Rattus norvegicus: one gene and its partners. The protein of the gene in region 1 interacts with the protein of each later gene in a biochemical or structural test. Links are inferred from orthologs where the notes say so. Each region holds a gene or a part of one and is shown in the gene's direction. Other genes may lie near its edges.

The links.
Region 2: the proteins of Ccna1 (region 1) and Mybl2 form a complex in vitro, tested with the Homo sapiens proteins (2 studies listed by BioGRID, with this or other methods). The link is inferred for Rattus norvegicus from reciprocal best matches to the Homo sapiens genes CCNA1 and MYBL2.
Region 3: the proteins of Ccna1 (region 1) and E2f1 form a complex in vitro, tested with the Homo sapiens proteins (2 studies listed by BioGRID). The link is inferred for Rattus norvegicus from reciprocal best matches to the Homo sapiens genes CCNA1 and E2F1.

The regions. Positions count from the first base shown.
Region 1 is NC_086020.1:141,383,301-141,386,800, reverse strand, and holds the end of Ccna1 (cyclin-A1), read left to right. Parts: intron 1-467; coding exon 468-672; intron 673-1,577; coding exon 1,578-1,691; intron 1,692-2,794; coding exon 2,795-2,928; intron 2,929-3,206; coding exon 3,207-3,258; coding exon of another isoform or gene 3,259-3,332; 3' UTR 3,333-3,448; downstream 3,449-3,500. UniProt on the Homo sapiens protein: May be involved in the control of the cell cycle at the G1/S (start) and G2/M (mitosis) transitions. May primarily function in the control of the germline meiotic cell cycle and additionally in the control of mitotic cell cycle in some somatic cells.
Region 2 is NC_086021.1:172,141,805-172,145,304, forward strand, and holds part of Mybl2 (myb-related protein B), read left to right. Parts: intron 1-200; coding exon 201-491; intron 492-1,966; coding exon 1,967-2,392; intron 2,393-3,230; coding exon 3,231-3,370; intron 3,371-3,500. UniProt on the Homo sapiens protein: Transcription factor involved in the regulation of cell survival, proliferation, and differentiation. Transactivates the expression of the CLU gene.
Region 3 is NC_086021.1:163,529,064-163,532,563, reverse strand, and holds part of E2f1 (transcription factor E2F1), read left to right. Parts: intron 1-2,629; coding exon 2,630-2,720; intron 2,721-3,043; coding exon 3,044-3,263; intron 3,264-3,500. UniProt on the Homo sapiens protein: Transcription activator that binds DNA cooperatively with DP proteins through the E2 recognition site, 5'-TTTC[CG]CGC-3' found in the promoter region of a number of genes whose products are involved in cell cycle regulation or in DNA replication.

The DNA.
Region 1 (3,500 bases):
AATTATATTGTTATTTTTCTCTTGGTGATTCAGTATCCTTTGCTAACTAATGAAGTTGAATAATTTAATATGGTCTTCAGAAACAAAACAAAGCACAGCTAAAGCCACCAAAGCTATGGGATTGTTTTTTTTCTGTTATTGGTTTGATCCTAACATTCTTCTCACAAAGTGACCCAATATCTATTCAACCAACAGGGATCCAGCTGAAGCATGTGTCCTTTAGACCTAGTCAGTGTTTCAAAGTCCCCAACCTGTCACAGTTCCCAGCAGTTAGTATACCATACCCTTGCGGTACTCTCGCGGACTGAGAAAAAGCTCACAGTATGTTTATAGCCCACACAGTTCTCTGATGGTTCTGTGGCAATGGCAGTATAAAGTGAATAAGCCTCCAGGGCCATGCGAGAGGACAGGAGCTAGAGACGACCGTTCCAAACTTTCCCCCTGATAATTCCTTACCCGCCCCCCAGGAAATACGAAGAGATATACCCGCCCGATGTCGATGAGTTTGTCTACATCACTGACGACACGTACACAAAGCGACAGCTACTGAGGATGGAGCATCTGCTGCTGAAAGTCCTGGCATTCGATCTGACCGTTCCAACCACCAACCAGTTCCTCCTTCAGTACTTAAGGCGGCAAGGGGTGTGCATCAGGACTGAGAATTTGGCCAAGGTATGCCACAGGACTTCTGGGGACAGCCACCTTTCCAACCACCTTCCACGCCCATCCCTCCCGGGTTTCCATCTCTGTAGAGGTGAAAGGCAGTTGTCTTAAAAACACGATGCCTGCTCACCAGACATTGCTGTTGATGGTACTGGCAGGTCCCAGTCACGTAGCTCCCGACTATCAAAGACTCTTAAGCACGGTAAGCTCCCTTGAGAGATGCAGACCGCAGGCGAGCAGCGCCTTTTAACTTGGGAGCAAGGTAAAACGTGGCTGGGTTTTGTTTGAATCTTATTCTAATTCAGTAAGAAATAAAGCAGCACGAAATCTGCAGCCATTTTGATCTAGAGGCACTTAGTTGGAATTATTAGCACTCTGTCCTAGCCAGTGAGCTTGCCATGGGAAATCTGTGAAACACACGCTATTCAAAGAGTAATAAAGATGACCACAAAGATTTCCCTGCATTCTCCTGACACGTCTCCAATGGCATTGCTTGAGCTTGAGAACTGTATCAATTTGCCTAGCCATTGCTAGCTTCAGTATGGCTGTTTCTTTGCCTCCTGGCTAATGACTCTTTCTATTTGAGATGTGAGCTCAATACTCCCTTATCTGACCACCGTAAAGCCTGATCTACTAGATAAGAGAAGTAACCTATCACATATGCCGTGTGGGTGAGATAGGGTATGGGAACATCATCACAACACAAACATTAGTCAGTCGAAGGACAGTCAGAGCAACTATGGAACTAGGAAATATACCTGGCTTAAGTTTGGGGCTCATCATTAGATTCTGAGGGAATGAAAATAAGGAACCAATTGGTGAGTTTGGCAATTCCAGGTTTACTGACAATTTTAGTCAAATTGGACCTTGCTCAAATTTCTTACTCCACTGAGATTTTTCTCTCTTGCCCTTAGTATGTTGCAGAACTGAGCCTTCTGGAAGCTGACCCATTCTTGAAGTATCTTCCTTCCTTGGTAGCAGCAGCAGCTTACTGTCTGGCAAACTATATTGTGAACAGACACTTCTGGGTACGTTTCTGTCTTCTTCCTAAGTAGAACACATTCAAAGTTCATACAAAATCTGTTCAGTGAGTTCAAGATTCAGAATGGACACAAGCCTTCTGAGGGAAAGTTTTTTTCATGATAGCTGGTTGTCATGGCAGCAGACCACAGCTTGTTTCTGAGTCTTCTAGATCAGTCACCATGGCTTTGATGCCATGGCTTTGCTCTGTGGGAAGCAGAAATAGCACGGAATCAGGAAGGCCTGGGAACCTCAGTGCCCAACAAAATATGCATAGAGGGCCTTGAGGCTTAGCCATTGGCCATGCCAAGCTAAAGTTGATCCTAGACAGCTGGAGTGGTGCACACCTATATTATAAGTGCCTGTGAGGTGGAGGCAGGAGGATTGTTAGTCCAAGTCCAGTCTGGGTCTCAGAGGGAGACCATCTCAATAAAACAAACATTAGTAGCATTCAGCTTCTGTAACAACGACAACAACAAAACCCCTCCAAGTTCAGTAATGACTGTTTCTTGCCTCAGAAGGCAGAAAGATCAGAAACAGATCCCTACATTTTATTCTAAATTTTCTCGGAGTGCTAAAAGAAATGAGTTATCTACTTTTATTTCTTATGATACTAGATAACTCTTTTAAAAAATGTATTTATCTGCATGCACATGTGTTTGTGTGTGTGTATGAGAGAGAGAGAGGCAGAGAGAGAGAGAGAGAGAGAGAGACAGAGAGAGAGAGAGAGAGAGACAGAGAGAGATGTAGGTCAGAGGAGAACTTTTCTCCTCCTATCAAGGGTTGTCTTTTGACTAGGGATCTCTATTCTATGCAATCTCTCATATTTAGTGTAAATTATTAAGAATCAGTGAAAGCCCCACCCACATAGGATCAAGAACAGTGGTCTGCCTCTACACTGAGGGTTACAACTATACTCCTGCCAGTTTAGAACCCAGGCTGTTTGGTTCTAGTGTAAGGTTTCTAAAGGAAGGGGTTATGAATCTTTCTGGATGGATATACTTGCTCACCAAGAATTTCACTTCACCCTTCACTTCATAAGCAGTTATGTTCAGATTTCTAACCTCTTATAAAGTTACGTGAAGCAAAATTTCCTTTTCGTTTCAATTAGCCAGAAACACTTGCTGCATTTACGGGCTATTCATTAAATGAGATTGTGCCTTGCCTGAGTGAGCTGCATAAAGCATGCCTCAGTATACCCCATCGACCGCAGCAAGCAATCAGGGAGAAGTACAAGGCTTCGAAGTAAGTGGGCACTCTCCCTTCCTTGCTTTCTGGGTTGTTGTGGAATCAGAACAACAAAAAGAAGTAGAATAAATTCTATCTTTCATTAGGTTGGAAAACAAGGTTGCTCGCTAAGTCAAGAAAAGACATTTAGGAAGATCTAGCTAGATTCACAGTTTGCCAGCGTTTGGCAGTTATAGTTAGCTGGCTTCCTTCTGACCCTTCAGACTGCTGGAGGTTTTCTGTAGCCTAACTGGCATCCTTGGCCCTGGGCTGACCTGGCTGTGCTCTCGTTTCAGGTACCTGCACGTGTCCCTCATGGAGCCACCCGTAGTTCTTCCCCTGCAGTGAACGGGTCAGCTCAACAGCCACACCAGCAGGCTTACTCTGACCTGTTACAGTTTTCTGCGGGTCGGGCCAACTAATGTCAGTTGTAGATGTCACCTTCAACATATGAGTGTTAGGTTCTTTTAGACGTCGGTAGTTTATAATTTATATAGATATAGACAGGTATTTTAAAAGAATAAACAACTTGCTGTGTGGCCATGTGTTGGGCCTCTTTACTAGTTGGCATAGCTGACACAACAGGCATC
Region 2 (3,500 bases), on another chromosome or scaffold:
AGTGTCATTTATGCATAAATCTCATTAGCCCCTGTCATGATACTAATATGTTTTCCAGTGTTCAGGAGGGTTGGAATGTCCCTCAGCCTCTGTTCACATGAGTTCTTTGGATATTTGATTGGGGTTATGTGTCTTTAGCTACAAACAACATTAGCACGCTATTTCAACAAAAATCTCCAGTGTGCCCTTGCGTCCGACAGGGAAGTCTTGTGAGCAGCTGGCCCCTGGCGCCCTCTACTGTGAAGGAGGAGGAGAGCAGCGAGGAGGAGGCTGCCGTGGCTACTACTTCTAAGGAACACAAGCAGGAGCCCGTCCCCACTGATCTGGGGGAAGTGCGCACCCCAGAGCCCCTGGAATTCCTCAAGCGTGAATACCAGGAGGAATCCTCCCCAGAAACAAGCCTGCCCTACAAGTGGGTGGTGGAGGCCGCGAACCTCCTCATCCCTGCTGTGGAGTCCAGCCTCTCCGAAGCTCTGGACTTGATCGAGTCGGTATGTTTGTTGGTCCCAGCAGGCACACAGCGAATAGCACTTCCCTTGTGAGCCGGCCCCCTCCACCGCCGCCATCCTCCTAGCATTTATTGAATGATGGGGGCTGCACAGCTCTGAGCAGTCTTTACCCTCCAGCATGGAGTAGGGTGAAAGGGCTTCCCAGAGAGAAAGGCTGAATTGGCGTTGCATAGCCAGATCTCACTGGAGAGAAGCCCCGAAGGGCCAGGAGTAACAAGACGGTTTCGGCTGCTCAGCCAAGGCCGTATACTGTTGTGATTCATGCTCCCTGCACGGCTTTTTCTGAGGAGACAAACACACAACCTGTTTACCCCAGATAAGTGGTGCTAAGGACAGGTGAAAGGAGCAAGTGCACACAGGTCTAGCATGGCAGACTAATAAAATCCTTAGACACACTGGCAGGTCCATGGGTGACAGGAAGACTGCTGCATGACCAGAAGAATGACAGACTCATAAAGGTGCTCTCCCTGGAGCTTCCGGCCCAACACGCATGCAACCCGCAGGGCAGCATCTCCTTTTTTCACCAGCAGTTATTTACAGCTTTAGAATCCTGGGGAGGGGCCTTGTGGCTCTTGTAACTTTCCTCTAGGAGGGACCGTGTCATTTCTGAGAAAATAGCTCAACAATGACTTTGCCTGCGAGCCTGTGGGTGGAGCCACTCCTCTTGGTTGTGACCTCCAGCTTTAGGCTCCGTCAGCCAGAAGTCCTCATGTCTAACTCTTCCAAGGTGAAGATCAGGGAAAGATGCCCAGAGCCTGCTCTCTATGCCCCCCTCCGCATCTTCCCCAGACATTGTTGCAGGATAGCTTCCTACCACCAAGGTAGATGCCTTCAGTCTCCAAGACCTCTGGTCTCTGAGGTCTCTGATCCCAGCTGCCAGCTAGTTTCCACTTAGGAATAAACTGTCCCGGCTCCGGCAAGTCCCCACAGCCACAACCTGCAGCTGAGCTCGATCTACTCAGGCCACATTTCCAGGATCAAAGTGGAACCTTCTGTTTTCAGAAAGCTTTGGGTAAGGAAAGACAGAGGGCATGTGGTTCCTGTTTGTTCTTAAGAGCTTAGCGTGGGTTCCTTGATGTGCGAGTGGGAAAAGGAGCTAGTGAGATGGCCCAGTGGATAGAGGTGCTTATCACCAAGCCTGGCCATCTGAAGTCACCCCCCAGGACCCACGAGGTAGGAGAGACCTAACTCCTTACACCAACGCATGTGTAGTGAGCTGACAAACATAAAGCAGCAAACGCATGTTTTCCCAGCCGGTTGCTATAGGCACTATAAAGCCATGGATGGGCAAGCATCCTGTTCAAGTCCCACTATGGTATGTAGGATGCTGAGGAAATGAATGTAAACAGTAGCGACTAAGTGGATAAGGGAGCAGGTTTGACACCGGTCTGTCTTCTTCCTGTGTTTAAATTAAGTTCTACCGTATTAGGAAGACCTTTAACCTCCCTTTCTGGCAGGACCCCGATGCTTGGTGTGACCTCAGTAAATTTGATCTTCCTGAAGAACCGTCTGCAGAGGGCAGTGTCAACAGTAGCCCAGTGCAACTCCAGACACCGCAGCAGCAGCAACAGCACCAGCAGGCACTGTCATTCCACCAGGCTGCCACACCAGGGCCCAGTGTGACTGAGTATCGCCTTGATGGCCACACTATTTCAGACCTGAGCCGGAGCAGCCGGGGAGAGCTGATCCCCATTTCCCCAAGCACTGAGTTTGGGGGCTCAGGCATTGGCACACCGCCCTCAGTGCTCAAGCGACAGAAGAAACGGCGCGTGGCCCTGTCGCCTGTCACAGAGAACAGTGCCAGCTTGTCCTTCCTGGACTCCTGTAATAGCCTTACCCCGAAGAGCACACCTGTCAAAACCCTTCCCTTCTCTCCTTCCCAGGTGTGTGGGCACCTCTGCCTACCTTGGCTTCCATACATAAACACATTGTGCCCGGTGAGGGCCTGGCGCAGGTACACACTAGATAATCAGTATTCGGTGGTTCTCTCCCTGTGCTCGGTTCTTGGGAACCAGTGGTGAGCAAAACCAGAGCTGGCCCTCCCCTTATGGAGCTAACACTCTGGTCTTCAGATCCAGATGGGTGATCACATAAAAAGGAAGAGGCTATGGGGCTGAAAGGGGGGCTGGCTAAGGTCGTTAAGTCATTCGTGGAAGCAACTGAAGGAAGGACAGCCTTATTTGGGCTTCAGGTCTAGGGTATAGTCCACCAAGGCTAGGAATTCGTGGTAGTCGGAGTTGAAAGCAGCTAGTCATACTACAGCCGGCCAAGAGGCAGAATGATGTCCCATTCGGCTTCCTTTTCCCTTGTCGGTCAGTCTAAGAACCCAGCCTGTGGACGGGCACTTCCCATATTCAGGTGGGTAATCCCACCTCATTTAACTGAACCTAGAAAAATACTTGGCAGACAGGCTGAGGCTTTTTCCCACAGTGACTGTGTAAACCATCAAGTTGATAACTAGGGATCCAGAACTTGTAGGGGTGGAGCTTCCATTGAGAAAGCTGAAAGGCCTCCCTGGATGCTAACAGACAGAAGGGCTGAGTCATGTTTGTTGAAAGAAGTCTTTGCTGGTGCCCTACAGGTTAGGACAAGACCTCAACCTTCCTGAACAAGCAGTCATAGGGAAGGGGGGGGTCTAAGGAGCTGTCCCTCCTCCCTGCAAAGGCCTCATGGACGCTTACAAAGGTCGCCTTGTCACATGTCTTCTCTCTTCCCTGGCAGTTTCTGAACTTCTGGAACAAACAGGATACCCTGGAGTTGGAGAGCCCCTCCCTGACGTCCACTCCGGTGTGCAGCCAAAAGGTGGTAGTCACCACACCCTTGCACAGGGATAAGACGCCCCTGCACCAGAAGTATCCATCGTGAGTCCCACAAGGCCACCTGTCCACCCTGGAGGATGGGGAGGTGCTCTGGTCGGGTGGGGGGTGGCTGCCACACCCCTGCCCTTGTCTAAAGAGCCTGGTCTTAAACATCTTTGTCCCTCACTTGTCT
Region 3 (3,500 bases), on another chromosome or scaffold:
TACTCTGCCAGTCCCCAGTCTTCAGAACTTTTGTTTTTAATAGTTCTAAAAGTTGCTGTGAGCCACGTGTGATGGCACCTTTATAATTCCAGCACTTAAGAAGTAGAGGTATAAGGATCAGGAGTTCAAGGTTTTCCTGTGCCTGATCCATGTTCAAACAGTACGTCATTCACATTGCCCAGAGGAGGTAACAGTCTGCCCTGGCTCTCCCACAGAAGCGCGCCTGTTTCTGAAACACACTCTGTCAGAAACTGAACTGGAGCAGCTCCTGAGCTTTTAGTCCAGGAAGGGACCATATATGTATTAGCCTGTCAGAGTGGTTTCCTTGTGTGTCTGTGAGAGCATTCTGTGCTGGCCTGGACCTGTCTGGGTCTGTTACTGAGACCACATGCTGTTCCAGGGGCTACATACAGCCTTTGTGGATGGGTGTTTGAAGCACTCAGTTATCAATATCTTCACCTGTGGTTTTTAGGATCTCAGTGTTGTCTAAAGATGAGTGACAGAAACACCATCAATCTGAGCCCTACTTTAAGGATGACATTGGAGATGGGCAAGGGCATCTGGGGCTGTGTCAGCCCATTGGGGTGCATATACCTGGATTTCTTCCTGGCTACAGGTCTTCCAAGGTGGAGACTGCCATACCTCCTACAGTCAGACAAAAGTTTGCTGAGGAAATGTTTGGGATTTAGTCACCGCCCTGCTCTCGCACAGACAGCAGAGGCAGTGTCTGCCTTTTTCTCATCGTCTCACTCTCATGTGCTGTCCTTTTCCTTGGCTTCCAGGAGTTGGTGGCAGGATGATGGTGGGGAGTCTTGGCGGACACTGAGGCCTGTGGCAGACACTGATGCAGGGGTTTATTGGTCCAGTGTCCAATGAATGACCTTTCTCCGGTGGAGGCAGTGGGCAGGGACAACAGACACATCTGTAGAAGTTGTATTGGATGGAGGAAAAGGCCAGGTTTGAGGCAGTACCGAGAGAGGACAGCAATTGCTCTCTTAAGCAATCGTGCAGGAGCCAGCTTCAGGTGTGTGGAGAGGGCATAGAATAGCGTTAGAGCAGGGCTTGGGAGAAGCTCATCCCCACAGTTCATGTGAGGAGTGCTGTTGGAAGGCTTTACTGAGGCAGAGTGATGTAGAGGGAGACCAGCATGGGGACAGCTGTCCTGTCCGGTGGGAGGGTGATAATGGCTGTGGGTAGAATTCTTGGCAAAAGAACGTGACAGGTGGTGGGTCAGGTTGAGAGGGTTTAGTTGAGAAAGGCCCGTGACTGGTGAAGGATAGCAAGTCTGGTCCGGTTAGTGTGTTTTGAGCTATCTGTGGGATTTCGGGGTCCTTCCCGTCACTGTGAAGTTAGAACTTAGGTTAGAGGGCATGGAGGTTAGCAGCTCAGGGTCTTTCTCGAAGACCTGGGTAGGGATTGTGGCTCTGCCACTTCTCTGTGGTCTTCTATGTAGGTTGTAAAGTGGAGGGTTGTGGTGTTGTCAGTTCAAAGAGCAGAGTACACTGAACACAGAGCAGTTGGTGAGCTCCAGCTGCTGCCATGGTTATAGATACGCAAATGAGCTAAAAGCTAGAGGCGGGAGCTGCCTGGGGGACCCAGACCCTCCCTTGGTGGCTGGAAGCACTGGTTGTATAGTCTCTGTAGGTTGGGACTTGAGGGAGATTTAGCTAGTGCTTCTAGCCTGAGGTGGAGTCCTGTTCCGCCAGAAAGGTCCCAGGCTGTAGTCAGAAGTGAGACTAAGGTTGCAAGCTTGCCCTGTTCCTCCTCACCTGGAGGAGGTCTCAGCTCTCTTGTCATAGGGGCTTATCCCCAGGGCTACTTGAGAGCATGGCACAAAGCTGTCTCCCTCCCCGTCACTTCAGAAGAAGCATCACTGTTGTAGTGACCAGTCTCAGAAGGGACACTTATCACTCTCGGCTTGCTTTAAGGGGGGAAAGTTAGCAAATATCTTTGAAAGCGCCAAGTCCTGGTGGCATGTGCCTGTAAGCCCGGTACTTGGGAGGTAGAGGCAGGAAGATAAGAAAGAAATTCAAGGTCATCTTTGGCTACATAGTGCCAGCCTGGGCTAAATAGTGAGACCTTGTATTTGTAGGAACTAAGGAGACTAATTGGTAGATTGTGTGGTAGCGTTCACGAGGCCTTTATTTTAACCTCTAGCATTACAGTGATGATTTGTATGTATTTAAAAGCCACCAAGCTGGTGAGATGGCTCAGTGGTTAAGAGCACTGACTGGTCTTCCAGAGGTCCTGAGTTCAAATCCCAGCAACCCCATGATGGATCAAAACCATCTGTAATGGGAATCTGATGCCCTCTTCTGGTGTGTCTGGAGACAACTACAGTGTAATGATATACATAAAATAAATAAATCTAAACAAAATTTTTTAAAAACCACCACCAGCCGTAATGTTGGACCTAAAATTTGAACCCAGGTTTTCAGCCTTGTACTTGACTGATTTGTGTGATAGGGTAATAAATAACCCCATGCATGTCCCTCAGGATCTGTCTCTCTTCGCACTCCTAGGCATCATAACAGAGAAGTAAGACTGGGTTTTGGGTATCAAGCCCTTAGCTAAGTCTTCTGTGGTGTCAGTCCTGGTTTTGGGGCATCTTCCTGTGTTTCTGCTACAGGTGAAACGGAGGCTGGATCTGGAAACTGACCATCAGTACCTTGCTGGTAGCAGCGGGCCATTCCGGGGCAGAGGCCGCCACCCAGGGAAAGGTGCCCATTGACTCCAGCTTCTCAGTCCCATACTGGGGGAGGGGCGTGGACATGGTTGTACACTCTGGGGCCCCAGGAGGTGGCTGGAATGGCTGCCTAACAGGACTTCCTTGGGCCTTGGAGGTGGGGAGTTGCCCAGCTACAAGAGGAATGCTTTGGTTGGCAGACAACAGCCACAGAGCCTTTCTGTTTGGCTTGACTAAGGGGAAGGAGCCATTTGCCTCCTGCCTCATCTTGCCACTCCACATTGCTAGGGAGACAGGCCTGTTGGGGGCAGACTGAGTGTTTGAAGAACCCTGCCTAGCCTAACCCCTGCCCCCCAGGTGTGAAATCTCCAGGGGAGAAGTCACGCTATGAGACCTCACTAAATCTGACCACCAAACGCTTCTTGGAGCTGCTGAGCCACTCAGCTGATGGTGTTGTTGATCTGAACTGGGCAGCCGAGGTGCTGAAGGTGCAGAAACGACGCATCTATGACATCACCAATGTCCTGGAGGGCATCCAACTCATTGCCAAGAAGTCCAAGAATCATATCCAGTGGCTGTAAGTACTCATCAGGCAGGTGGGCAGGTGGCAGCCAGACCAAGCCAGATTGGCTTACAGTGGCTTCCTGCATTCCCAACAGCTGGGAAACCAAGGTCCAAAGAGAGTTACCTTCCCTGGGATGATAGAAGGGGAAGAACACACAGGTCTTGCAGATCCAGTTCCCTATAGCTGTAGGTTTCCTATACGTGTGTGTGTGTGTGTGTGTGTGTGCGCGCACGCACACATGCACACACA